Diceros bicornis minor: one gene and its partners. The protein of the gene in region 3 interacts with the protein of the main gene of each other region in a pairwise test. Links are inferred from orthologs where the notes say so. Each region holds a gene or a part of one and is shown on either strand. Other genes may lie near its edges.

Region 1 (9,958 bases), on a different chromosome or scaffold from region 3:
GGCTGCAGCAGCACCACGAGTCTCCCCCAGATATGACGACACCCAGCAAACCCCCCCAGTAGACATTCCCTCAAGTGTCACTGGCAGAACTGAGCCCCAAGCCCCCCCAGCCCAGTCACCCACAAGGGCGTGGTCCCCCCCCAGATGGCTCAGACAAATCAGGGTTTACCCCTGAACTACACAGAGAGGAGTAAATGCCCCACCCTGATCACCTTGAGCAGGGAAGCTGGGGGAATGACCAAGTTAATCAGCTGGGGTGAGCAATAAGTAACAATTCCCAGCTCCTTCTTTAGCGGAGAGGGAAATAAACCAAGCATTCATTGAGGCAGATGCGATGCTGAAATTGTCAGGATTAGGGCACTTATAACACCAAGAGTTATCATGTATCAACTGCTGATAATGTGTCCAAGACTGGGTTAGGGCGGCAGTTGATAACAAACTGGTAGATAAAAACGACAAACAAACACATAGAGAAGGAGATTGGATTGGTGGTTACCAGAGGGGAAGGGGGGAGGGAGGAGGGCAAAAGGGATGATTAGGCACATGTGTGTGGTGATGGATTGTAATTAGTATTTGGATGGTGAACATGATATAATCTATGCAGAAATAGAAGGATAATGATGTACACCTGAAATTTATACAATGTTATAAACCAATGTTACCGCAATAAAAAAAAAATAACAAACCGGTACTATTATCCCCATTTTACAGATGAGAAAACTGAAGTTCAGAGATATGAAATAATTTGGGGCTAATTGGAGGCTCCTTCCTTCACATCGGGCTGGCTTTGAAAAATAATATGAATACCAACAGAAGTTAGAGCCATTCCAACAGATAAATGTACTCCAGATGGAAGCAGGCTGAGCTACCTGAGGGTTCTGGATGGAAGGTTCTGGAACTGAATTCCATTTTCCAGCTTCCTCTACACAGAGTAGCAGGCCTGTTAGAATAAGGTCTGATGAGCTCACCTGATTTACAGATGAGGCATCAATGGAGGCGTAATGGGAGAGTCTGCCCACACACCAGAGGAGGGCAGGATTACCTGCACAGGTTTCTTTCACGGCGATGACCTCCACATTGGCAGGAAGGAGGTAAGCGCCATAGGCCAGGAGTGCTTGGGGGGATAATCGATGTGGTAGCATCCAGGGAAAACAAACAAACAAATAAAATTGAATGACAATAACTAAAAGTGAACCACGATGAAGGTTGTGCTCCCCTTCCCTCCATGGTAGGTGGAATAATGGCCTCGACCTCCTAATCCCAGAACCTGTGAATATGTTACCCTACATGGCAAAAGGGACTTTGCAGATGAGATTAAGGTTAAAAACCTTGAGATGGGGTGGTTATCCTGAATTATCCAGGTAGGTACATGAATCCTTAAAAGTGGAGAAGCCTTCCCAGCTGTGGTCCAGGGAGATGTGGCTAGTGAAGAATGGTGAGAGGGAGATGCTATGCTGCTGGTTTGAAGAAGGAGAAAGGGGCCACGAGCCAAGGAATGTGGTGGTCTCTACAAGCTGGAAAAGGCAAAGAAACCTGTTTCCTCTAGAGCCTCCAGAGAGGAATGCAGCCTTGCTGGCACCTTGAACTTAACCCCATGAGACCCATGTCAGACTTCGTCCTACAGAAGCATATAACGTATATAAAATGTTAATATCTGGAGAAAGTCGATGCGAAGTATAACCTTTGCAATTACCTTTGCAATTTTTCTATAAATCTAAAACTATTCTAAAATTAAAAGTTCAGTAAAAAAAATAGCCTCCTATGGTTGGCCCCGTGGCCTCGTGGTTAAGTTTGGTGTGCTGTGCTTTGGTGGCCCAGGTTTGGTGCCTGGGCGTGGACCTACACCACTTGTCAGTGGCCATGCTGTGGTGGTGACCCACATGCAAAATAGAGGAAGATTGGCACAGATGTTAGCTCAGGGAAAATCTTCCTCAGCAAAAAAAAGAAAAAAAAAAAAGACTCCCAGGCCCCATCCCTGGCCAATTAAATCAGAACCTCTGTCTCGGATCAAGTATCAGGATTTTAAAAAATCTCTCCAGGTGATTCAGACCTGCAGCCACAGTTGAGAGCCACTGGTGCACTGCAAGCACCTCAGGAAGTATAAAACATGATGGAAACGCAGGTTGTTATGATTAACCAACCAGCGCATTACTTTTTAATAAGTTACACAAGTAAGAGTGACCATCGTAAAATTAAAAACCCAGAGAGAAATAAAAATTAAAATCACCCCTCATCCTGCCCCCTAGTGATAGCCACTGTTTTTGGTGAAAGCCCTTTTACACTTTTTTCTCATGGATACCTACACATTATTATTCCTGTTGTTATTATTATTAAAACACAAAACTGAGGCTCTGAGAGGCAGCCCCATAGCCCCAGGGTCTTGGAGCTCCCCGTTTACTTCTGCATCCTTTGTCTTCAGGGAGGATGGGGAGCCCAGCGCAGGGCAGAAGAGAGAAGCCAGAATGGCTCATGTTGAAATGCATGATAACCCAGTGTAGATAAATGTGCATTGGCAATCCCACCTGCTAATTAAGTGACAGCCTTGCACGGCCTCCAGCGCTGTCACATTCCAGCTAATGGGGAGCTGCTCTCGGGCTATCACACCATCTCCTCATTCCTGTTTTCTACTCCCGTGGTAGGACAGCCAAAGACACAAGTCCAAGAACAGCCCTGAGTAACTGTGCGCTGGCCCAGGACCCAGTGTGTGCAGCGTCCACCTCGACAGTCCCCTGCCAGGGCTTCCTCTTTCAGCCCCCTGTGGGCCATCCTCATCAACCTGTCACTGAACATTTAATGTTGCTGAACTCTTGATCTGGCCCAGCTGGTCCGCATCCGCTGGCTTCTTTTAAGAGCTACACCTGCAAGCTGCAAGCTCCTGGAAAAGCAGACTGAAGAGAGATTCGCAAGCTCTGGAGGTTGGGTGTAAGTCCTGGCTCTCATAGTCCTTGCTGTGTGACCTCAGGAGAGTTGCTTCACCTCTGAGGCTCACTTTTCTCATCTGCAAAATGGGGGCAGGAACCTCACAGGTTGGAAGGAGGCTTAAGCAAGGGAATCCACCTAAAAGCATCTGGCACCTGGTAGGTATTCAAACAACGTTAGTTCCTTTTTGTCTTTCTTTCAACACCATCTTTCCCTTTTTCTTTGGGAGAAGGAAGAGAAGGGACTCCAAGCTGGGGAATCTACTCATTCATTCTCAACAAATATTGATTGAGTGCCTCCTATGGGCCAGGCGCTGGAACGACAGCAGGGAAGGTAATGAGTCCTGCCCTCGTGGTGCTGCTGAGAGGGCACAGGCCCTGGAGTCAGACAGAGCTGGGTTCAAATCCTGGCTCTACCACCTACACGCTGTGGTTCCTTGGGCAAGTGATGCCGCCTCTCTGGGGCTCAGTTTAGGCAACTCTAAAATGGGGACAACAGGGCTCCTGGGAGGAACAAAGGAAAAGATACTTGTAAAGATGCTCATTAGAAGTTGAATAGTGGGTGCTGGTGAGGATGACTGTCCAGCAGAAGAAGCCCAGAGGCCATGGCCTGGGGCTCAGGCTTCCAGGACCAGGCCAGTCTAGCCCTAGGCCCTTGAGTCCCACTAGTGGGGTTTGTTTGGTCCTTTAAGGCCATTATACAGATGAGGAAACCGAGGCCCAGAGAGAGGAAGAGCCTCACCCAAGAGGCACAAAATCAGAACCTAAAGTGACCCGATTCACGTATTTCTGAAGTTCTTACCACTCAAGGAGTCTTGCCAACAACAGTGAGCTCTTGCATTGGGGGGCAGCTCTGGCTGGGCTGGTCACAGTGGGTGGCTCTGCCTCTCTTGCCCGCTGGGAACACAATATGGAAAAGTGGCCGTGAGCTTGGCCAAAGGGGTAGGGACCAATGGGAGGGTAACCGTGGGGAAGCTCATGCCCGGGGCAGAGCAGACTCCGAGTAAACACATGTCAAGAAAAGGGAGATGAGAAAGAAAGCATGCTCGCTGGAGATGCCCCAGGTGCTCTGCTCCAGGGCACTCATCATTTAAATCTTCATTTCCTCTCAGGAGGCAGCCCTAGAAAGCAGCACTGTTGGTATTCTTGTTAAAAGGTAAACAGAGGCACATTAAAATTTTCAAGGGTTTATTTGAGCATACATGGATTCAAATTGGGGAGCGTCAAACCAAAGGTGTTTGGGAGCGCTCCACCAACAGGAACCAGGGGAGAGGTTTCTATAGAGAAGACTCAGAAGGAAATGGGTTGATTGGATGTAGTGGTGGCCTTATTTGGGGAAGCCTACTTGACTGTGATTGGTAAGTTCCATTTTCTTGGATTCGAGCACATTGACTCCGGCTTAGGTTTCGGTTTGGTAGCTGGGCTACAGAGCCGTTAGAGCCACCCTGGTCCAATGGCCCCCTTGTTCAATTACTGTAACATTCTCATTTCACAGACATGATGCTGAGGCACAGAGTGATCAGGTGACCCGCCCAAGACCACACAACTTGCGTGGTGGAGGTTGGAATAGAGACCACGATGTTCAACAGGATACTATACTGTATCCAGGAAAAACAGAAACTGATAAAGGAATGAAAGGAAGAAGACATGAAGAAAATAACAGGAGAATGAATGAAAGAGTGAATATTTTTCTTTATTATCTTTTTAATGAAATAGTTGATACATAAAACATTATTTGTAACACTCGTGAGTTATAAAACATTCTAACAGAATGAACACCCTTGAACCCACCACCAATCTAAGAGGACAATGGAAAGTCACCAATAACTCATATCTACTTACACCAGTGGTTCTCCCAGCTGGTTGCACACTGAACCCACCTGGGGAGCTTAGATAGCCACTGATACCCGCAGAGAGCCTGATGGGATTTGTCTGGAGTTTGGTCTGGGCATCTGGATTTTATTTTTTAAGGCATCTGTATTTTTAAGAGCTCCCCAGATGATTCTCATGTGCAGCCAGGCTTAAGAACCACTGATTGTTATTCCCCTCTCCTATCGTACCCCCCTGATTTCCCCCCACCCTCACCTTCATTCCTCCAGGTAACCACCATCCTGAATTTTGTGTAGTAAGTGGATTCTTTTCCATCATCCTTCTGTTTCCAGGACTAACGACGTTTGCGATTATCTCCCGCCCACCACGAGGGGGCGCCAGAGAAAAACCACAGCCTCCTGTCTCTGCGCGCCCGGCGTTGCGCGGGAGGCGGCTTGACCCTCGCGGCGCTCCGTCACCGGTCCGTTGCCCGGGCAACGAGAAACGGCCGGCGTTGGTGCTGCGCTGCCGCGGAGTGTCGCGGCGGGACCGGCCGGGCTTGGTTGAGGCGCGCGGGAGCTCGGGCCGGGGGACTCTTCGGAAACGTGAGTGGGAAGGTGGGGCGCGGCCGGGAGCCGGGACCCGCAGAGCCCGGCCGCAGGCGGCCCCGCGCTGGCTTCCGGGGTTCAGGGAGCCGCTCAGCTTGTGGGTGGCCGATCCGGCACCGGAATCTTAAGTTTCTTGGCTCCTGGTGCAAAGATTTATCCACGGGCGGCTCACAGGGCGAGGAAGAAAGTCTGTCAAGCCCGCCACAGTCTCGAGACAGAGCATCAACTGGCAGCCGCAGGCTAAACTTGGCCCACAGCCGCGGATGGTTTCCCCCAGCTCTGGAGGCCTCGGAGTCTGAGACCTGGCGTGGACCCGGGCCTATGGGCTTATTCAGCAGACGTTCCTTACGCACTGTCCCAGTCAAGCACTGTGTAAACCCTGCACATGCGGGCAGCTGTTGGGTCAGGGGAAAAGGTGTCCCGAGTGAGACTGCTCTGCATTCAAGAGTCCAGTTGTGTTCCCTGATTGCTCTGTGACCCTGGCAAATCCACTCCTCTCTCTGGGTAGCAGTTTCTCCATCTGTAGGATGAGGGATCTGCCCTCCATGTAACCCAGGAAACTTCCAGGTGTGACACCTAGGCTAGGCCCCTTCTGGCCAAAGCCGGGGCATCGTGCTCCCAACTGGCAGCCTCTTGCAGTCTACAGAGCCCGGGCCCAGGTCTCTGACCGACATGAATTAGGATCCCAGCTCTCTTATTTCCTCTGCTTCCCAGCTTTGTGGTCTTGGGCAAGTCACTTTACCTCTTTGAACTTAAGCTGCTTCACCTGCCGAATAATGGGGTGATTATAACAATGAAAAGGTCATGAATGTCAAAAGTTTGGCACATACACATGTTCCTTAAATTACTATCCGTGTTACTTTAAGCAGAGCATACAAGGCCCTGTTGTGCTTGGTCCAGCATTGCTAAGAGTGGTTCCCTGTCTCCATCTCCAGTGCCCTTGATGGTGTCTGCCCATAGCCGGGTGCCATCTAGGCTTATTTAAACCGATGATTCGCAACCGTGATGGCAGATCATTTAAAAAATGCTGATGTCTGGGGCCTACACCAAGACTTGTTTGATTTAATTGGTCTGGAATGGGGCCATCCTCCACCGGGCGATTCCAGCGTGCAGCCAGGCGGGGAGGACCACTTATGAAAGGGATGAGGCCAAGCTTGTGAGGGTTCCTGGGGTTGTAGCGACTCATTTTCCTACCATTGCTGTTCTCAGATGGCCCTCCCCACGCTGCCCTCATACTGGTGCAGCCGGAGGCTCCAGGATCAGCAGACAGCACGACAGCGACAGCGAGAGCAGGAGGCCCGGCTCCGGCAGCAGTGGGATCAGAACAGCCACTACTTCCGGATGTCCGACCTCTGCAGCTCCAAACAGGCAGAATGGAGCTCCAAGACCTCCTACCAGCAGAGGTAACTGTGTAGTGACTGTGATTGGATGATGCTGGGGGGCCATCTGCTGGGGAGGGGATGTGGCCTTAAGGACCAGGAGAGTGTGGCGTGACAGCATGTTTTCTCGAGGGGTTTGCGGAACAGCGTAGATTACCTGCATGAGGTTTTTCCAACTGTAAATTGAAAAAAAAGACCCTCAGTGAAGTAAAACTTTTGCACTGCAAAAGATAAAGCAATAATCTGGAGAATCTGGAAGTTTTCTTGTAACTCCACATCCCCAGAGAGAACCACAGTTAACAGCCTGATTCATGTCCTCTCATACTTTTTCCCATTTGTGTGTGTATATAAATATATACAAATATAAAACAAGATTCTACAATGCGTAGTGTTCTGTGACCTGCTCTCTTCACTTTGGCTGGAGGACACCTTCCCGTGTCAGCATGTTAAGTCTCCCTCAGCCTCTTTTACCCACACAGCAGAGCAGAGCGTTCCACGTGTGGCTGTGGCATGATTGATTTACGGTGGGCTCCTTCTCACCCAGCATGCATGCTTATCAGCGTGAGAAGATGAAGGAGGAGAAGAGGAAGCATCTGGAAGCCAGACGGGAGAGACTCAGGCAGCTTCTGCTGGAGGAGCAGGACTTGCTGGCCAAGGAACTGGAGGAGCTGAGGCTGAGCATGAACTCGCGGGAAAGAAGAATCCGGGAGCGGCACGGGAATCTGAAGTCGGCCCGAGAAGAGCAAAGGAAACTGGTAACTTCTCACAGCCCTTTAGGAAGCTATGGAGCCGGGGCATCCCGAGCCCATCAGCGTTGTGCATGTGGGGTCACCGCTGGGTGCTCTGGTCTGGTGAGATGGCGATAACTCCCGAGCCAGCTGGGAAAAGTGCTTACTCTAAGTTGTTCTTCACGTGTGTTTTGCATAAGTCATCCCTCTTTTCTTTGGCCCCTTAAATCATTACATCTGAGTCCTTTTTCTTTATTCAAGTTCTATGGTCCCACAAAGGCCTGGGACTGGTGTATTTTATCTTCCAAAGTAGTTGTGTGGAATGGTGAGCCCCAAGCTGTGTTTTAAGCCTGCTATATATTTGGAAGCAGGTCTGTAGCATCTAGGACCCATCTGAAACATCAGATTTTGGCCCCCTTTTGTCACCATTGTAAGAGTGATTTGTCATGCTGTCCAGGTCCACTCAAGTGTCTGGCTCCCGGAGCCAGGGGTGCCAGGCAGGCAGGAGGTCTGAAGGCAGGTGTAGTGACAGCGTGCCAGTGGAGCAGCTCTTAGCCTGAGCTGACTTCCATTGCCGGTTCTCCAAAATGTGAGTGGATTTGAAAAGCAACGTCAGCTTTCCCTCTCTGTGTTTTCTTGACAGCTTGCCGAACAGCTTTTGTACGAACACTGGAAAAAGAACAACCCCAGACTTCGAGAGGTGAAAACCAAGGAGATCCCTCCGTTGATTTGCCTAAGTAGATGAAATAATTTTAGCCAGCTTGTTTTAAACTTGGATCTTGTGCTGGGGTCAAACAGAGGAGGGAACACTTCAGCCACCGGAAAAGAGCACCATGCAGAAGATTTGGTTCATTTGCTTGTTTAACCACTGTTTATTGAACATCTGCTGCAGTGTCCACATGTCGGGGCGTGGAGATCAGAGGTGGTCTCCACTCTTAAGGAGCTCACGGTCCAGTGGGGGAGCAGTGGGCAGCTTGTAACAGTGCAGGATGCACGGTGCTGGGCAGGCCTGGGAAGAAGGGCGTCAGGGCAGTGCACCCAACTCAGTGGGAGGTCGGGGAGGCATCCCAGAGGAGTTGCTGGGGTGGAGGAGTTTGGAAGGACATGAGATGTTAACTTGATGGTGTAGAAGTGAGGAAAGGACATTCTAGATCGAGGCAACCGTGCAAGAAGCAGATCTGAGTCATGCGAGCAGAGCGAGTCCAGGGAGCTACAAGTGGCTGGGAGGCTAGGATGTCAGATAGGGAGGGGGAGCCCCAAGAGCTGAGGCTGGGGAGGCAGACGGGGCCAGACTTCGGCAGCCTTGTGCAGCCTTCCCTTGGAAGCACTGGGGAGCGCCTGGATGATTTTACACAGGGGTGGAATGGGATCCCAGCTGCATTTTGGGGAGCAGCAGCTCTGGCAGCCATGTGGAGAGGGGTGGGAAGAGGTGATGCCAGGTGAGGGGCGGCTGTAGCAGCCCAGTGAGTGATGGTGAGGCCCAAACTGGGGTGGCAGGAGAGAGGACAAATCTGCAGGACCTGGAGGTGGCGGGGGTGCGTCATGGCTTGGGTGCCATTGTTCAGTGGAGATTGGGCTAGAGGGAGATGATCACATCACTGAGCTCAGTAACTAATTTCAGCTAACAGTTTGTGTATGCGTTTGGTGGTGTTAATTTATATATTCATGATTACATGTAGAAATTGCCGGTCATGAGTAATGAAGCATCTGGGTGCTGTGGAGTATTGTGCAGTTAGCACTAAACCATGGGGGGACCCCTCTCCCTGGCCATTTGTTGGGCTAAGGGGTCCTCTAAAGTCACTCACTCAGAAAAGTTTATTCAGAACATTCAAGTTAGGTGTAAATGTTCATATTTGTAAGTTGAGACGGAAATTTAAACTTTCATAAACAATTTCCCAAACAAAAGCTTTTGGACAGAGTATTGCAATTCATGTTCTGATCCAAAAGATTCTCTAAACCCAGATTATTAATAACCCCACACTTGTTGCATCAAGTAGAGCGTGCATCTTGTGCTACAGGGATACGTGTTTGCACAGCCGCTGTTGTGTGGAGGAAGTGCTGGGGAGCCAGACAGGGAGCTGTCTGCCCCTCCCCCAGCTCCTGCGGCCCTGGGGCCCCGCGTCCTTTAGACCAGCCAGGGTGGCCTTTGAGGTTGTATTTCCATTTCAGTGTCTGCTGAGCTGTTCCTGCTCAACCCCAAGGGAACTTGACTTTGTTCCAGTCTTGAGGTTGGTTTAGAACTGCCTGGCCTGTGGTTGTCTAATTGATTTGCGTTCAGACTACGTGTGTTGGGCTCACCATGAGCTTCCAAGACCCCTGGGCCACTCTGAGTCCTCACAGAGGGAAGTCATGGTCACGTTCCAGTGCATGGCACTGTGCTGCACGTGAAGATCTGTCAGGTGGACCGGTGAGGACATTCATATTCTGCCCCTTCTCATCCTCAGATTGAATTGGACCTTCACAAGAAGCACGTGATAAACTCTTGGGAAACACAGCAAGAAGAAAAGAAACAGGTG
Region 2 (9,745 bases), on a different chromosome or scaffold from region 3:
GAATATGTTTGGGAAACGTGGAACAAGCAAAGAGAAGGAGGAATTCCTGCTCCAGGAGCTCTCAGAGCCTTTCCAACGGTGATGGGCATTGCGAATCTCTAACTGCAGGAAAAGTGGGTGAGAGGAGTGCGGACCCTGCCTTCTGGGAGCTCACGGGTGGTGGAGGAGACAGACCAGACACAGGCACAGGGACACACCAATGTCAGGAAGTGAAGCTCCCTGAAGAGAAATGTGAATGAGGGGGGAGCATGAAAGGTTTCCCTGGGAGGATGACATTTGAGCAGAGACCCGAAGGAGGTGAGGGAGGAGGTGAGGGGGCAGCTGTGTGGCTGTCTGGGGGAAGAGGGGCCCAGCAGAGGGAACAGCATGTGCAAAGGCCCTGAGGCCTGAGGGTGCTTGGTGTATTTGAGAAGCAACACAGGGGCCAGTGGCTGGAGAGAGCTGGGCTGAGGGGGAGGGTGGTAGAACATGAAGTTAACAGGGGTCAGCTCCAAAGGCCATGGTCTTCAAAGCTTGTTGGGGGGCCCTTGGAGCATTTGGGCAGGGGAGCGATACTCAGGGACACGCTGCCCCATGAGCTTATACTAGCAAACAGCCTCATAAGAACAGCAGCCGAAATAACAGCCAAGGGCACTGAGGGTCAGTCAGGGGCTGTGCCTCACAAGCCAGGGAGGGAGGCAGACTGAACGCTCATCTTACAGGTGAGGAAACTGAGGCTCAGAAAGACGTGCGTACATCTATGTGATAGATGCTCAAAAAATATTTCTGGAACAAATAAATGAGTTGAGAGATAAAATATTAAAAAAATCTTTTCATATCACTTAATATTCTTCACAAACATCATGTTTAATGGCTGTATGGTATTCCATTCCAGTCCCATCCACCGTTTCCATTGCTCTGTGGCCAGGAAATTAGGTTTATTAGGTTTTAATTGTTTCCTCTTTTTTTTTTTTTTTTTTTTTTTTGCTGTTAATAGCAATGCTGTAGTAAATATTCTTCTTGTTAGATCTTTCTGAATCTCTTTCATTATTCGGTTAGGGTCTGTTTCTAAAAGTACAGTTGCTAGATCAGAGTACTGGCCTATTGATACGGCACAAAATTTCTCAAATTTTTTTGAGAAGTGTGACTATATTGCCCTTCAGAAAGGGCATCTCAATTGACCTTCTCACTTTCAGTGTTTGGAGGGACATATTTGGGCTGAGTTTTCTTTTAATTCACTGCCTTATTTTGTTCTCTCATAGACTATCCTTAAAAGTGTTCCTTATTTTTTTAAATAGATAATACATTGATAAGGTACAAAATCCAAAAGGTATAACAATGTATTTTCTAAGAAGCTATTCTCTTTCCCCTGTCCCCCAGTCAGCCTAGCAGCCACCACTGGGACCAGTTTCTGGTGGGTCCTTCCAGAGAAGTTCAGACGCAAGCAAATACATATAGAGAGAATACGCTTTAAATTAAATGAAACAAAACAAAATACAGCCCGGGGTGCCCAGAAGATAGGGAACTGATATCCAAGGCTGATTTCATCTCAGTTTCTAGCTGAGTGGAGCAAATACTGCCAGGGTCAGGGTGCCGGGGGAGGCCTGTCCACGCGGTGAGATGCTCACCTGCGGGGTCAGGATAAGGCCACAGGACCCTCCAGCTCCCTCTGACCTGGGCACACTAAGGACAGCTTGTCTACCTTCTTATTCCGGGCTCCCCCTCCCCACCCCCCGCGGTGGGGGAGGGGAAGGACTGGATGCTTCAGTCACCCTGAATTGGCACCAGGTGCTCAACAGATCCTTGAAGATGGGGGCCATCACCAGGATGCTGTTGTCATGTGAGGATGCTCAGAGTTCCAGAATCCAGGTGTGCCCCGATGACCTCTCTTCGTGGGGCCTAATCTGGAGTCCAGGGGAGGTTCCTTCTGCCCTCTGTCCGCCACGCTTTCTTAATCTGGGGGCGAGGCGCAGGGTTGTGTTGTCTTGCTCGTGCTAAACTGTGGGGCGTGCAGGGCAGAGCAAGCCTTGAAGATGCGGGCGGCAGCAGGGCCTTTGTCCCCGCATCTCAAATATCTTCCAACCCCCGATTAAAGCTGAACATCTCGGAGAAGAATCTGACCACAACACCGTCACAGTCATTCCCGTGTGAATGACCGGGAAGCGAGGTCTGGGAGGCTTCACACGGTCGGATGCTTTCGTAAAATTTGCCAAAGTAAGGCATTTTAACCTCACTCTGTTAAGACCAACCACCGTCTCCTTCCACTCTGACTTCCCCTTGTGTCAGATGATGTTGGGGTGAGTAAGGAATTTTGGGGCTCTGGCTAAGAGGACCTTGACATTTAGTGTGGGTTTAGTGGTTTAATTTACATTGTTTCCAGTCACTTTTGTGAATAGCGCAATTATTACCAACTGACCTGGTATAGGAATGGTTTCCGGGAGTACCCCTACCTAGCTCACTGAGCTGCCTCAACGAGCACTGTGACGTGCAGGTGCAGGGTCAGAGGTCATATCACGATATCCAAGTGGTCTTACAGTGCCCGATACCACCCGGACGTGGCAGCGGAGAAATGTGGACGGGGAGCCAGACGCTTGTTTGGGGAAAGTATTATGGAGGCATGTCAAGCAGGTAACTCAGAAAAATAATGTTACTTCTCTGGATTTTGTAATGTTTGTGGAATTTGTCATTTGTTGAGGTTTCTTTTATCTTTCTAACCAAATAATCACTTTATTACCTCATTTTATATTTGTAAGTTTGTAGTCTTTTTCTTAAATAAGTCCCCCTAAACTGTCTCAGCCGCAGGAAGCACCAAGTCTGGGTCTGCCCCGGCTCAGTTTTCTCTGGGTCCGCCCCGGCTCAGTTTTCTCCGTGTCTTTTCGGATTGTGGGATTCCCCTTGCCTTTCCTCACTGGCGCAGCCAAGCAGGTCGTGCACACTTGCGCGGGAATGTAACGGAACAGGGGAGAGGACTCCTGCTGGAGCCAGACAAACCCTAGTTTTCTCATCTATAAAATGGGAGTAATAGACTCCCTGTGCTCAGACAGTAACGAAGACAAATGAGGAAATGTGTAAGGCCTGGAGAGCCTGGCAGGGGGCACAGTTAGTGCCGGGTTTGCTGTCTAGCTGGTCCTCACAGACACGGCCAGAACCCCTGTTCATGGCAGTATCTGTTCTGATTTGATTGGTGCCCAGGCCAGAACACGAAATCATGGTTAGCTATTGATACATTATTGGTCCTCCTCCCCCGTCTGCCCAAGGCGTGTACACAGTAAGTGCTCAGTCGTTGACAATCCAACCCAAGAAAAAAGACACCATCGGGAATAGAAAACAGAGGCTGGTTCCAAACTGAGCAAGGTGCTAGACCCACACAGTGGCTCACAGCAACAGAATTTCCTCATCTCGAAGGGCCCTTAGAGTTAATTTATTCTAATCCTCTTAAAAATATGTGTTTTTTTTTTCTTCACATGTTTAAGTGTTGGAAATTTGGAAAATCCACAAAAGCACAAAGAAGAAATTAACTGCTGTTATTATAAATGATTACACATATATACATGGGATATTACAATTATGTATTTAATACATATTCATGTTGTACATAGTGCTTTGAAACATACTTTTTAAAAACTTAACACTTTCTTAGCATTTTATCCATACTTTAAGTATCTTTCAAACACATTTTTTTTTTTTTGCTGAGGAAGATTGGCCCTGAGCTAACATCTGTGCCAGTCCTCCTCTATTTCGCACGTGGGTTGCCACCACAGCATGGCCACCAACAAGTGGTGTGGGTGTGCAGGTGACGGAAGTGGAGCATGTGAACTTAACCGCTACGCCACGGGGCCAGCCCCTAACTACATCATTTTTAGTGGCTGCATAATATTCCTCATCGCCAGCCCTGGTGGTTCAGTGGTTAAGATTCAGCACTCTCACTGCGGAGGCCCAGGTTCATTTCCCAGTTAGGGAACCACACCACCAGTCTGTCAGTTGTATCGAGGCGGCTGTTTGTTGCTGTGATGCTGAAAGCTACGCCACCAGTATCTCAAATACCAGCGGGGTCACCCATGGTGGACAAATTTCAGCGGAGCTTCCGGACTAGACAGACTAGGAAGAAAGACCTGGCCACCCACTTTGGAAAAACTGGCCATGAAAACCCTATGAACAGCAGCGGAGTGTTGTCTGATATAGCGCCGGAAGGTGAGAGGATGGCGCAAAAATACTGGGCAGGGTTCCACTCTGTGTGCACAGGGTTACTAGGGGTCAGAATCCACTCAGCAGCACTAATGACAAAATATTCCTCATCAGAAAATGGGTATAACTAAAGGTACCTATCTCAGAGGATTATGCCATGAGCACTGAGTTATGTTATGTAAAGCTACTTGGCATGTGAATGCTGGATAAACTTGTCTCTTCTGCAGGATAGATTCATATAACCAATCTCCTTTCGCTGAGCATTGAAGTTATTTCCATTATTTTGCTATGATAAATAACGCTGGGCTATATTAATCCTTGCTCATCTTTGGTCATTTCCTTAGTAAATTTCAGGACTGCTGGGTACGCGTATTTCAAAACTAACCTACTCATCATTGTGCAGCTGGGGGAACAGAGAGGGAAAGGGGCTTGCCCGGGCTCACGTGGCGAGTTAGCTGCAAACTGGGGACTAGGAACCACTTGGGGACCCTAAGTAGTGCCTCGTCCAGCTGGGAACCAGGGGAAAGTCCGGGCTGAGCAAGGGAAAGAACCAGGCCCGGAGCTAAAGCGCCGTCGGAGGAACTGGAGGCGAGCGGGCGGGCTGCGAGCAGGGGCGCTCACGCGCGGCGCCGAAGCTCAGCGGTCGCCTGGCAACCCCGGCGGCGCGGCGTTCGAACGGAAGCGAGAAACCAATCAGGATGTCCGGGGCAAACCATTCCGCCGACGGCGGGGAGGGCGCGTGCTCACTTCCCCTTCCTCTGCGCCGCGGGGACCTTCGCTCCGGTCGGGGGCTCGGGACAGGCGGGTGCCCCGCTCATCTCGGTGCGGAGGGCAGCGCCGAAGAGGCGCCTGCGGGTCCTCACGCGGGGCCGGGGCCTCCCGAGCCGCGTTGGGCGCGCCCATTCCCTGCCCGGGTCCGAGCTGTCAGCCTCTCCGAGACCCGCGCCGGACGAGCCGGGACTCGCGCAGCGCGGGCTCCAGGTGAGGGCGCGGGCGGTCTGGGGCGCGAGCCCGGGTCTACGGGGGCTCCGTTCCCCGAGCGCCTGCTGTGTGCGTCCTTCCCGCGTCACACCCGCCGGGAGGCGTGGTACCCCGTTTCATGGATGAGAACGCTGAGGCTCAGAGAGCCAGGTGTCCTAGCCTAGCGAGGTCCCACAGAGAATCCGATTCAGGTTTCTCTGCTCCGCCTCGCGGTCTCTAGTCTAGGCAGATCTAGATTTGCCTTGAGAGGCCCAGACGGGCAACTGGTGGCCACTTTCTCAGCCTCTTATCAGCAGGGACACGGCCCGTGGAGCCCTGGCTGGATCACCTCCCCCCTGCCCCTCCCTGCACCGTCCTCGGGGAGGGGTGTCCCCTCTGGCCATCTGTCTTACCTTCTCCAGAGCGCCAGGGGTTGCACTCAGGGCTTATTAGGGTCCTTCTGCCTACAGGGCTCTGACTTACACTGCTGTCCCTCTCAGAGGGCCGCTCTGGGGGTACTGGGCAGGACGGACATTTCTGGGCTAGGTGCCAGGTGGGCAGCAGATGCTCCTGCCCTGGAGTCGGTGTTGAACTCTTGCGAATCTGCCCCAGGTCTGGGGAAAGGGCAGAGGCAGTTCCTCAACTGAAGCCACTAGTCACCAGAGACTGGAGTTGGAGGTGGGGCTGGGACCCCTCCTGGTGGAGCATCTGACCCAGACCTGGCCCTGCTTCCTGGGGCTGCCCCTTCCCCCAGGTTGCTATTGTTGGTTTCCTTTTGTAGGTGGGGAAACTGAGGTTTAAGTTAAGCCCCTTGCCCAAAGTCACACTGTCAGCCTTGGCAACTGCTGGACCTGGCTCCCGGTCCATCTGGCTTCAATCTTGGAATCCTAGACACTCAGAATCATAGCATCTGAGAATCTTGAATGTTCTCAAAGGGAGTTACTTATCCTCTCCCCTCTGCACTCTCCTCCTGGCTTTGGGCAGAGGAGCTCTGGGAACTCAGAAAGAAAACAAGTCTTTCATTCATTCTTTCAACAAATATTTATTGACTTCATATGCCCTGCCCTCCCCCGTGTCTATTTTGTTTTTCTCAGTAGCATTTACCCTGTCTGATGTCCTATAATTTCACCTACTAGTGAGTTTATTATCTTCCCCGACTGGAATGTGATGCAAGGAGGGGCCAGGGTGAGGCAAGTGAGGCACTCGCCTCCAGCACAAAATTGAGGAGTGCCCCCAACCCCAGTAACTAAATAACTAAAGTGAATGTTTATTGACCATTTGCTGTGTGTTGTGCTGGTGGGAGATCTACTTGGATGGCCTCCGTGGAGCGCCGTCCCCCTACTCCATCACAATTACATGTGCATCCCCGGACCCGGCTGTCACACTTCTAGGCAAAATGATGTAGGTGCAGTGATGCTGGTGTGTGGTTTGTAATCGAGAAAGATTGGACACAGCCTGAGTGGCCATCCGCAGGGGCTGATGGGCTCTTTATGTACTGATGTGGCACAACGTATATTATTAAGTATGTTAATAAAATATTATAATTAATATGTTAATAACATATTATTAAGAACAACACATATTATTGAGTAAAAAGAGCAAGATGGAAACAGTACCCACCATGTTGCCATATGTGTAAAAAATAGAAAGAATGTGTCTATTATTGCTGGTATGGGCCTAAAATCTCTCCGGAAGGACATACAACTATTTGGTCACAGTGGTGCCTGCAGGGAGGGGAACTGGTGGCTGGGGACAGGAGCGGCAGGGAGTTTTTTTTCACTCCATTCCCTTTATAGCTCTTGAATTTTGAACCATGTGTGTATATCACCTGATTGAAATAAACATATATATATTCATTATAGGGAATATATTTAATCAGGAGACCACTGTCCTGTCTGTTATCTGTCACTGACTTGCTGTGTGACTTTGGGCAAGTTTCTTCACTTCTCTGGGCTGCAAAAAGAAGCCATGATGGTGAGCTCAGGCCTGGGCAGAGGACAATCCAGAACAGGAAGTGGGCTTGGCTGTGGGTCTGTCCCTTCCCCATCCTGTGTGCCAGGCCCTTCCCAAAGGCTTTGCATGTGGTATCTCTCTTATTCAGTCTTCCCTACAAGCCCCTTTGTCCCCATTTTGCAACCTCAGGTGCAAACTGAGGCCCAGAGAATTGAGTTGGAGGAGATGGACCGTTGGTGGGCCAAAGAGGAGATTGAAGCCTTAGGCGTCTGCACCCACACCCCTCCCGCAGTCCGCTCACATCTCTCTTCCTAGGTTTCTGCAGCCCTGGGCGAGGCTGACTCTGGACAGGCCAGGAGACAGGTGTCTGGGGAGACTCCAGAAATAGCGTGGGGCCTGACGTGGCCCTGGACGGTGCCCAGCTGGATGTCTCTGACCTGGACAGCTGGGCTGAAATCGAGCTAAGGCTGCCCTACTGGCCAGGCACTCTCCCTGCTGCCTGGAGCCTTTCTGATCCTCCTCTGGGCAGGTGAGGGCCTCTCTGTCTCCATCCGAGTCTGGGCCTGGCTTCTGCTGAAGAGAAACAGAGAAGCAAGTGGAAGGAAGGGGTGGGGGTGCAGAATGTCATGAAAATTATAAACGTCAGAAACCATACCTCTTCAGCACTTACTACGTGCAAAGTACTTTACAATATGAACTCATTTAATTCCCTCAATTCTACGACGTAAGGTAGTTACTGCTGTTATTATTTCCACCTTGTGAAGGGAAACTGAGCACCAGAGAGGTTTAGCGACTTGCATGAAGTCACCAAGAGCTGGAATTTGAATCCAGGGACTCTGGCTCCAGACTCTGCACCCTCCCTTTTTCAGTAAAATGTATATAAAATAAAATTTACCATCTTAACTATTTTTAAGTGTACAGTTCAATGCATTAAGTACATTCGCATTGTTGTGCAACCATTGCCCCCATCCATCTCCAGAACTTTTCCATTTTCCCAGATGAAAACTCTGTACCCATTAAACAGTAACCCTCCATTCCCTCTCCCCCCAGCCCCTGGCAGCCACCATTCTACCTTCTGTCTCTATGAATTTGACACTCTAGGTACCTCATGTAAGTGGAATCATACAATATTTTTCCTTTTGTGACTGGCTTATCTCACTTAGCATAATGTCTTCAAGGTTCATCCATATTGTAGCATGTGTCAGGAATTCCTTCCTTTTTAAGGCTAGATAACATTCCATTTTATGTATTATATTTTATTTATCTATTCATCCATCCGTGGACATGTGGATTGCTTCTACCTTTTGGCTATTGTGAATAATGCTGCTGTGAACACTGGTGTACAAATATCTGTTCCCGTCCCTGCTTTCAACTCTTTAGGGTATACACCTAGGAGTAAAATTGCTGGGTCCTATGGTCATTCTATTTTAAAATTTTTGCCTAACGGCCATACTGTTTCCACAGTGGCTGGACCATTTTATATTCCCAAGAGTGCACAAGGGTTCTAATTTCTCCACATCCTCACCAACATTGTTATTTTCTGTTTTTGTTTGTTTGTTTGATAATGGCCATCTTAAGGGATGTGACATGATAGCTCCTGTGGGCTTTTTTTCCACCCCCCCAAAGCCCCAGTAGGTAGTTGTATGTCATAGTTGCACAGCCTTCTAGTTGCTGTGTGTGGGACGCGGCCTCAGCATGGCCGGAGAAGCGGTGCATCGGTGCGCGCCCGGGATCCAAACCCGGGCCGCCAGCAGCGGAGCGCGCGCACTTAACTGCTAAGCCACGGGGCCGGCCTCTCATTCTGGTTTTGATGTGCATTTCCCTAATGAGTAGTGATGTTGGCCATTTGTATACCTTCTTTGGAGAAATGTCTATTCCAGTGACTCTGCACTCTTAGATTTGTAGCCTCTGAGAGAAGTGGCTCAACATTCTGGGCCGGTGAAGGCCTCGCCCAGGAGCTGGGCACTGGAGCATCTATTTGGTTGAATGGTTGTCATAGCTCACATTTTGGTGGCATTTGTCAGCACAGGCCTCATGCTGGGAGGGAGGCACTGAGGAATTCTATGTTACAATTGGGGAAACCGAGGCACGGAGAAGTTGAGTATCTTACCTGAGGTCTCCTGGTGGAGCTGGGATTTGAATGCAGGCAGGCTGGTGCCAGAGTCCCTGCTGCAAAGGTGGCCAGGGGATGGAGTGGAAAAGGGCCCTGCGGGCTGTGGACCCCGCGTGTGCAGAGGTTTAGATGTGTTGTCTGTGGAGGAAGAACTGGGCTCAGCTAGAAGTGGCCAGAGCCCAGCTTGAATGAGTGACTTGATGTTGGAGGAGGAGGGGGAGAGGTGGGGGAAGGCCTGGGGCAGCTTCGGGGTTGGGAGGACGCAGGGTGCTGAGGAGTCTTGGCCTTTGAGGTGGCCTGAGTTCCAGTCCTACCACTTGCTCAATAGTGTCCCCTCTTGTGCTTGGTTCCTGGAGGAAGGAAATATGGAAGAGTGTGATGGTGGGAGAGACAGGAAACAAGTGATAGATAAGTGACTATCTAAGATGACAAGATGTGATGAATGCTTGGAAGGGAACAAACTGGTGAGAGAGTTGGCAGGAGCCTCAGGGTGGTCAGGGAGGCCTCTCTGAGAAGGTGACATTTGAAGTGAAACATCAAGGAGGTGAGGGAAGA
Region 3 (9,897 bases):
GTATAGAAAATTTAAGTAACTTGCTCCAGACCGCATGGCTGGTAAAAGGGAGAGTCAGGTTTCTAATTATCCTTTGTCTGTCACCCAAACCATTTTCTCTTCTACGAACCCTTGTCCCACTATACCTCCTAAATTTTATTATGATTGTTTGGTTCAAGATACTATCTGAATAAAAATGTGATTATTTCACAATGTAGTTAATGTATATTAGGGCAACATTTTCAAAGCTTTCCAGGCTTGGCTTAAAAACCCCTCCTTGACTGCTGAGTCACTACTCAGAGCCTATTTTCTGAGCCTTTGGTATCAGTACAGTTTTTGGGAGTGCTGCATCTGGTCCTGTTCTTTGGCTGTTTGGTCATCTAACCCCTCCTTTCGCTGCATGACTGGGGCAGCCTCAAGGGTGGGAACACGTTTAGATTTCTTTTCGAATCACTCACCCCATGTGCCAGTAATAGCCAGGCATCTAGTGCCTCCCAATTGGTGAATTCTCTGGATAAGAGGAATCACAAGGGAAGGAATATGGCAAAGACTCCAGTGAAACAGGCTGAGATACTTATCCATAAAATGTAAGGGATCATGTAAGAAGGTAGGCAGTGTATAAACATGGAAGGCTGAGGCACGTTCTTAGCAGTAGACTAAGAAATACCGAGTCTGGCAGCCCACAGATAAAGCCCCAAGTCTCCCACCTTTTGCAGGAGCTTATTTATGCCCATCTCTGTCCCACCTGGCTGAAATTAAAGATTTCACACATGCTTCCAGTAGCTATATTCAGCCGAGCCACCTGCTCCTGGTCATATATGTGGGGGAAGAGGCAGCACAGTGCCTGTGCTCTGGAAATACACTGAGTTCCATTAGCTGTTCCACTAATTTATACCTATGGGTCATAGCTATATGGGCAAGTAACTTAACCTCTCTACCTTATTTACCCCAAGAAAAATTACCTGAGAAAAATTATAGCAGGTACCACACAAAGTGGTTCTGAGAATTAATTTAGTGCTTTGCAGAGTGCTTAGTATACAGTATAAAATCTGTAAATGCACCCTGTCTTTGTTGGATAGTCAGGGCAGTCTGAATTTCCTGGGACTCAGGCGCCCAGCATATCATCAGCTACTGTAGCCAGGAGAAGAGCATTCTGCAGTTGGTGCATACAGCGTTTTATACTGGTCAACTAGGTAAACTGTTAAAATTGTGCTGTTAAATATACATTATTTCTTTCTCTGCTTATTCAGTTACTGAAAAGATCTATTAAAATTGCCCACTAAGATTTTGTATTTTTCTACTCTTAATTCTTTGTATATATGATGCTATGTTAATAAATGAATGAAAAATTGGAATAGTTTTATCTTCCTAGTAAATTATAGTTTTTTACATACCATCCTTATTTATCTACAGTAATATGTTTTTCTTTAATATGAACTTTGTCTATGATAAAAAGTCACAGCACCTCTGTTTGATTTTTTCATCTTCTTTTAATGTTTCTATATTCTTATACTGTAGGTGTGTATTTTAAATAGCAACAGATTCATTTTAATTTTAATCAAGTCTGATAATCTTTTAGTTTTTAAACCATTTTCATTTAATCTAATTATGGTGTATTTGTATTATAAACTTTCCGTATTACTATTGTATTTAGTTTTTGTTACTTTCTACATTCTATTTTTAAATTTTTCCATTGTTGCATTCAGACTGGTTTCAATATTTTTATTATTTTATTTTATATTTTATAATCTTGTCACTTATATGTTGAAATTTTTGTCAAAAGCCCTTTGTTTGGAATGTCTATAGACAATACAAAATATTGAATACAAAAACTGTGTGTATGAGTCCAGGATTGTACTGTTATAGGAGATAATGAGATGATGCTAAACTGCATGGGAACACACATTTTTATATTTATAATAGCAGAGTGAGCTATTAATGCCATCATAGGAAAGACCAATGCCATATTTTGTAAGTCCTTTAAGATCTGTCTGCCACTTTTGACCAGAGCCTCTTGAATAGCTGTTTTCATCAGATGCTAATCACTGAAGCCTGTGAAAGGGAAAGATCATTCACACACCTCACACTCACACAACACAGTGAATCCTATTAGCCTTTGACTTCCAGCTTCCAGCTCCAAATTTACTTTATTACATAAACATTATAGCATAGTATGATGTATATCTTTTATATATATTTTCAAATACATAACTTTTATACACATTTATATGCATCTCTCTCTTTATATATATATATATATATATATATAATTCTTAAATACACACTTCCAAATATAAATAATTTCACATCAAGCTAAACAGGATAAAAACATGTAAACATATGCACCTAGTTCTGGTCAAGTAAAACACAAAACCACAAGGTAACCACAAGTTAAAGAGCGCACTTGAAGGGGATGAGGGAAGGAACAACATGTAAACAACAAGAGATGAGCAGCTGCACCACAAGGCCCCGCCAGGGTCCATTTCTTAAGGCTGTAGTAGCAAAAAGCTCCTTGTTCAGTTAAGACTTCTCCCTTCACCCTGTCACATTTATTCTTGAGGGACTTCAAAATGAGTGTGGAAATTCTGTAAACACTAGACTAGAACTGAGTCACTCCTGTTGAAAACAGAGACGACAAAATAAACCATAAACTGACAGTAATATTAATTTCACCAAACAATAACTTTAAGGACTTTCGATTGCTTTTTAACACAGTGAGACACCATAATCATAGGGGGAAACAAATGGGATGGGCAAGAAAACAGAGATGGATGCTCCATGAAAATGACTTCAACAGCCCCTGTGAGTGACAGATGTGTCTACAAACAGAAAACAGGCAATAGCGGATGACGGAGCCTCAGCACACTAGACCACATGCCACAGCATAATGCTACAGACTCAAATTGAAATGTTTTTTCTAGCTCATAATGAAGCAAGTCCCACTGGTCCTCTGAGAAGGGGAGCTCATTATCTCCCAGTGAAAGGAAACACTTAAACAACAGATTGGCCAGCCGAAGCATGACAAGCTCTTTTTTACAGCTTTTAAAGGGCATGTCGCCCTCTCCCACCTGCACAGGATCCTCTCCCAGGCCCTCAGGGTCTGCATGCTTGTAAAAACAGTTCTCTCCAAATGGGCAATAACCCCCGCTTGCAGCAAAATACCTGCAGGTCTTGTTTCTCATTGCCTCCTTGTACTGCTGAATAAGTTTCTGCTTCTCTTCTTCTTCCTCCACCCAGAACTCACTGGGAATAACAAGGCTGGAAGTGACCCTGCACTGCGGGCAGGATTTGACCAGCCTGCTCCCAAAGTGTTTGGCACTCCTCCACCTGCGGATACACTTAAGACAGTAGGCGTGGTTGCAGTTGGAGAGGATGCCAAAGCGGCGGTCACTGGGGTTGGCTCTGTCATACACCACCTCCATGCAGATGCCACACACTTTGTCCAGACTGCGCTGCACAGCAAACGAGAGTTCCATATCCTTCTCGTGTGCTTCAATGCAGGCCCTTACATGTTCTTCCCTCTGGACAGCATCCACCGGGTGTAAGACCTGTAGCCCACACATATCGCATATGTCTCCGTGGACATACATACATCTCTCCCCACGAAAGCATTGCCCCATGATAGCATCGCGGCAAAGCTGCTCCCCCGTGCCCACAGCAATCTGCTCCCTCTCAGTCACTGAGCTCTGCAGAGGAGCCTCGGGGACAACAAGGGCCCTGCGGCCCCGGTAGGGTTGCCCGGGAACAAACTCAATGGCATCCGCCCAGCCTTCTGCACCTGCTCCTCCGGCAGCTTCCAGGCCTGCACTCTCTCTCTCAGCTTCAAAGAAACCCCTTTCAGCAGCCGAGCCAATCACAGGCAAGGAGCGTGAGGACGCAGCAGGGGGGGCTTTCGCCACTTCCTGAGGCAGGGTCTCAACGTGCGCAGCCGTGCTGGCGCCTCGGCCTGCAGAGGCCCCAGGCGGCGAACTACGACCCTCCCTGGCCATCTGCCGGCCTGAGAGGTCGTGGGAGTAGCGACAGTTCTCCCCCTCCTTGCACCGCCCATGCAGATAATACCTGCAGGTGATTTGCTTTGTCCAGCTGCCGCTGCTCCGGCTCGGCAGCCAGCTGGGCCCGGCCCCTCCCCCTGAGGCCTGGGCAGGCCTCCGACGTGACGCTCGGAGGAGGGCCGGGCTCGGAACCGCAACTTGCCGGGGGGCAGGGCGCACGGGCAGACGGGGCCCTCCAGGACCCTCCCCTGCTGCCGCAGCACCCGTAGGGGCCCCAGCTGCCTCAGAGGCTTCAGAGGGAGCTGCAGGCTCTTCCATGGCAGCTTCTGTGCCCTGAAATGGTGCCGGAACTTCCCCGGTGCCTCTTCCTTTTGGGCTTGAGGCCCGGAGGTCAGTAACCGGCCCGGGGCTCGTCTTTGGGAAATGTGCATCTCTTTTCCTTCCCCCCACTCTCTACTTCCTGTGACTATGAGTTCCTACTTCCCTTTCTGGGCAGGCGCGGCGGACACTTCCTGTGGGAACAACGTCAGTCCTCTGTCGCGTCCGTACGGCGTGCTCGGATCCGTACAGCTGGCATGAGAGTCGGAGCGGAAGCTGCCTTTGTTTGCATCAGGCAGGGCTGCCAGCCCCTCCTCTCCAGCCTCTGTCTTGCTCCGATGCACGCCAGCTGATCCCCCAGCCGCTCGTCGGCCGTCTCCCGTGGAGGACGTAATCGCGGCCTTTGAGGTTTTAAATTTAATCTCTTCTAGCATTCCTGATTGCTTTTTCACATATGTCTATTTTAAAAATCACAATTCTGTCTTCCCCCCTGTGCTTAAAAATTCACCTTGTAGTTCGTGAAATATCTCATACGTGAATTTTATAATTTTATAAATTATTTTGCGTTCACTCCCTTTTGTCTGTGTGGGTCTTTTTTTTTTTTCTTTGTCTCATGACTGTAACTTCTAGAAGCTTTTTCGGTACATTTTCTTGACGATGCGTCATATTTTCTGGTCTTTATTTTCTGGAAATTCATGTGGGCTTACATCGGGAACGTTTTTCGCCAGCAAGGCGTTAGCGGGAGCGCTTGTGATCTGAGGCCGCTTTAGCACCTTTGAGATGTCTCAGCTCATTGTAGTCTCTCTCTCTCCCCTCCTGTGCAGAAGCCGCAGGCTTTGTCCTGTCCCTATGCTGGCTTAATAAGCTGCTGTCCCCTATGTGACCCTGGCTTTTATTTTCTCTTGCTGGTTTAACTCATGGTGGCCTTTTGTTTCCCTTTCTTTCTTTCTTTCACCCAGCTTTGTGTGGAATTGTGGCAGGCCAGTATTTCGTAACATATTCTATACCCTTCTGCTCTCAAATGGTGCCTTTTAATTTCCCTGTGTGTGAGCTCTGTTATTTTGCAGATAGATGTTATTAGATTAGTAAAATAAATTATATTCCTGCTTTGCTAAGAGTACTAACCATGAATGTATAGTGAATTTTATCATGTAGTTGTTTGCATTTTTTGAGAGATGATCATATGGTATTTTTTCCTTTTATTCTCTTAATGTGATTATTTGCACTGATAGATTTTCAAATATTCAACTTACCATTTTTTTCTAAGAATAAACCTTTCTGTGTTATGATGTATCATCATTTTATATATTACTGAATTTTTGTTTGCTAAAATGAATTTCTCAGAGGGAATTCTATAGCCTAAATTTATATTTTAAAATGGGAGAAAGTTTGAATGTAGCACAGAAATCAGATTGAAGCAAATAATAAAACTAATAAATTATTAAAGAAAAACAAACATGAAGTCAGGGGAATGAATCAAAACCCTTTGAAAGGATTATTGAAACAGATACATTCTAGTGAAATTTATCAAAAAAACATGAAGGCTCAAATAATCAAGATCAGAAATTTTAAAAGTGTTATAAGTACATTAATAACAGACATTAAAATCATGAGAGGATACCAGGAACAAAGTTAGGCCATTAAATTTGAAAAATTACATGAAATGGTTATATTTCTAGAAACATGTCTATTAATTAAAAATGACAGGAGCAGAAGTAGGAAACATAAATATTGATCTGTTAGATAAATGAAATCTGTAATTAAAAATAATTCTCTAAATGAAAGCTTTTAAAGCTTTCCCTTTGAAATAAATAAAAAGGAAAAAAATTTTATGCTTATTGTTACAAGTCCAAGCCAGTACAATGAGGCAAGAAAAGAAATAAATGATGTTAGAATTGGAAAGGAACTATTAATGGAAGACAGCAGAAAACTGAGAATAATTTACTGATAAACCATTAGATTTAATAAGCACATTTAGCAAGGACATTGGATAGGAGTGCAATATATAAAATCAGTTATATGTATATCATCAATATCACTTAAATATTTAAAATTCATAACATTAAAAGTTAACTATCCTAGAAATTAAAGTTTTAAAAATTAAAATCATGTTTATTTAAGAAGACCTAAACAAATCGAGGAATACTCTGATTATGCAGTGAAAGTCTCAATATTTTCAAAGGTAGTCTTTTCCTAATTTGATAATCATATGAGAATGTTGCTGTTTATCCACCATGAATCTAGGAAATCTTGGTGATTTTGAATTCTCCTTTATATAGTTATTGAGTTTTGTGCTGAGGATGCCAGTTCTTCCAAAGTCAGACTCACTTGCATTTGCTTTCCTTTCCTAAATGCGTTGGTTCATGCATATTCCTTTTACAGTCCCGAAGATTTTCACAGGAAAAAAGACTTGGAGCACAGATACTAGGCTTATATACCAGGCTCTTCACATATTCATGAATATAAAAATCCTGAACATAAGCCTATTATTTGTTTAATATATTCCCAGTACTGTGTCTAAATTATATTTGATCCATTTTTTATAGACAAGCACTGTCCAATAGAATGTTCTATGATGATTTGATATTTGTGCTATCCAGTACAGTAGCCTTTAACCCCACATGGCTCTTGAGCACTTGAGATGTGGCTAGAGTGACTTAGGAATTGAATTTGTATTTTTTTAATTTCAAAATTAATTTAAATAGCCATATGTGGCTAGTAGCTACTGTCTTAGTGAAGTTCTAGATAGTATGTGATCATCCCATCGCCTCAAACAAAGGAATGGAGATTTCCTAAATTGCCCAAGGCTATGCAGCTGCCACGGGGCAGGGTTTGCCTTCAGATCCCCACTGTGTGGCTCCCACTGGTGTTCATGTCCTACCATTTCATAGTGTACTATATCTTAGAGTTTTATAGTGGCAATATTTCATATACACTATTAGAAACTAAAATTGTACCCCATGATTATAAATATCACGTGAAATTGAATAACTGGAAATAATGGGCAGTGCGTCTTTAGAGAAATGAACACATAGTTCCTGTCCTGATCAAATACCTATTCTCAGAGAATTTTGTCTGACTGTCATAGATCATATTCTTGTCCTGATTTTTTTTTTTGAGCACTGATGGTTTCATACAGTCTCTGAGAACACACATCTGATCATTTCTCCAGTTACTGGGCTTGGCTGAGCCCTCTTTTCCCAAGAAACCTTAGGGCTGGGACCTGGCCGAAGCTAACTTGTACACACACCAGTCTTCAGGCCAGCATGAGATCTCCTGGCTGGTCAGCATTTGGGTGTCCAAGTGGACTGAATAAAAGCAAGGCTCCTCCTCAGCAGGCTGCAATAAGCACCTAGGTCACCAGGAGCAGAGTCACAAGGGGGGAGGTGGTTTACAGCACTGCAGGGCTGAGGCACAGTCCAGGCAGTGTAACAAAAGCCCAAGAGGTAGGAGACTAGTACAGAAGTAGAGTGTAGGATGGATAGAAAAGAGCCAGGAGGCCCGGCAGTCTTTTATTCCAAACAGCTCAGGCCTTCTGGGCCCAGTCCCATGTGGCTGATGTGTCCATATTTAAAGGACACAAATTGTTTCAAAGCAGTTTGCTCCCCCACACACACCTGCTTCAGATCCAACATTTAGGCACTACTGGAGTGTGTGAGGGCGTTAAAAGAAAGTGTCTAGAATGAGGCATCAGGGATTCAAATCTGGACTCTATACTCTCCAACTAAGAATTAACCTTGGGCAAATTAATCATCCTCTTTTAGCTCATCTGGAAAATGATGGGAATAATAATACTAATAATAACAATAATAATAATGAGTGATTATCTCACAGATCTACTATGAGTATTAAAAGAGAGAATTTTTATTAAACGATTGGAACAGTGCCTGTTACAAGGCATAGTCTTTGAGATCTCCATAAATGTCCTTTGTATTTTAGAATCACTCAAATCATCCTGTGAGTAAAGTCTCTAGGCACAGTCTCTTTTTATGTTTCTGGATCCAGCAGTAATATGTCTATAGGATCCCTGGAAATTCTTGCACATAAGAGGTAGTGAAAGAATACTTATTTTCTCATACTGTTGGACAAACTGATTTTTATTTTGAAATTTACAGAGACAGTTTTCTGCAACTCTGGTTCAGAAGTCCAAACTCACCAAATTTCATGCATTAATTATGTGCAGTTTTTTGTTTATTAACTATATCTCAATAAAGCTGGAAAATAACAAGTTGAGCTTTAAAATCAGGCAAAAATAAATATCTTATTTAAAAAAAGAAGTTCAGTTGTGGGTACCTTTGTGCGGTACTTTTTGTCCCCTCATCACTTGTAATTGCCATGGGATTGTGCGTGGGATAGGACTGCTTTAGCTCATCCTGGGAGAGAGTGGGCTAGTTTGAGGAATCCACATCTGGTCACCATGAGTGAACAGCTAGATGACAAGAAAGTTACTCAAAAATGCCTTTCTAATTGCATATTTCAATATGGATATAAAAAGGGTATAAATTATCCTAAAGCCATTTGAATATAGTATCATAAAAATTGCTATGATTATAAAAATTATACCGAATTATATATATTGTAATTAAACATTGAAAATTTCAAGAAATTTTCTGGATGCTTTTCTACAAGTGCCAAGAATTTAGCTACTTTATATACTTTAATGTGGTTAGCAAAATATTCATATCATATTCATATTGATATATTTTACACATCTAAAACATACTTAAATTTCAATTTCTAGCCGGATTAAATAGCTTGCATAATGCTAATATTTCCGTCCAGAACAATGATAGAAACTGGATAAATACATGAAGTAAATGTTTGAAGGACTTGGAAAACAGCTAATGTGGTGAGAGGTTAAGGGGCAAAACCCAAGAGAGAGCACTAAAAAACCTAAATCACTTATGAGTTATAGAAGAAATCACAAAGAAAAGGAGAAAATATTTTCAGCTGAACAACATATTAAAACATTTACGATGCACCTGCAGTGACACTTAGAGGCAAAATTTATAGCCTAAATACATTCATAAGGAAGGAAGAAGCTTCATTTCCAGGAGATAGAAAAAATAAAGATGAAAAGACAGAGATGGGGGGAGAATGTCACACAATAATGTTGGAGTCCTATTGCCTCCTTCCTATTTAGGAAGAGGAAATAGATGCTGTGCCATGTGTACACTCAGACCTGCATGCCCTGGCCACAGAGAAAAAAGGACACAATTAATCTGAATCTTGGTTCCTTGGAGAAGGAGTGCTTTTCATTTTTTAAAATATAAAAATACACATAGAATTTTCCATGTTCCTTCCTCTGTTCCTTTCTTCCAACAAAATGTTTAGGCAGTTCTTAAAGAGAGTTGTGAACAGCCATACCTAACTAACCGGAAGATGTTCTCCCACGTGGAAAAATAGGAAAGTGTATTAATATTTCTCACCACTAGAGGGCTGGGATGTGATTCGTTGAATAACCCCAGGAAAGTTACAGAGATTTTGATAACATGATTAATACTATTGATCTAATTGATGTATATAAAAACACCACACCCACCAACTCTAGTCTGTGCAAATCACACATCGGACACTTATGACAATTACAGCATATTGGGCCTAAGAA

What was found.
Region 1: the proteins of MKRN3 (region 3) and TCHP interact in binary tests that used the Homo sapiens proteins (3 or more experiments, as listed by UniProt). The two-hybrid records come from large-scale screens. The link is inferred for Diceros bicornis minor from reciprocal best matches to the Homo sapiens genes MKRN3 and TCHP.
Region 2: the proteins of MKRN3 (region 3) and FAM110A interact in binary tests that used the Homo sapiens proteins (3 or more experiments, as listed by UniProt). The two-hybrid records come from large-scale screens. The link is inferred for Diceros bicornis minor from reciprocal best matches to the Homo sapiens genes MKRN3 and FAM110A.

What each region holds. Positions count from the first base shown.
Region 1 is NC_080774.1:17,707,352-17,717,309, reverse strand, and holds the start of TCHP (trichoplein keratin filament-binding protein), read left to right. Parts: upstream 1-5,248; 5' UTR 5,249-5,332; intron 5,333-6,544; coding exon 6,545-6,738; intron 6,739-7,258; coding exon 7,259-7,469; intron 7,470-8,085; coding exon 8,086-8,142; intron 8,143-9,886; coding exon 9,887-9,955; intron 9,956-9,958. UniProt on the Homo sapiens protein: Tumor suppressor which has the ability to inhibit cell growth and be pro-apoptotic during cell stress. Inhibits cell growth in bladder and prostate cancer cells by a down-regulation of HSPB1 by inhibiting its phosphorylation.
Region 2 is NC_080758.1:28,925,223-28,934,967, forward strand, and holds the start of FAM110A (protein FAM110A), read left to right. Parts: upstream 1-4,984; 5' UTR 4,985-5,145; intron 5,146-9,745.
Region 3 is NC_080744.1:77,046,076-77,055,972, forward strand, and holds MKRN3 (probable E3 ubiquitin-protein ligase makorin-3), read right to left. Parts: upstream 4,362-9,897; 5' UTR 4,290-4,361; coding exon 2,799-4,289; 3' UTR 1,654-2,798; downstream 1-1,653. UniProt on the Homo sapiens protein: E3 ubiquitin ligase catalyzing the covalent attachment of ubiquitin moieties onto substrate proteins.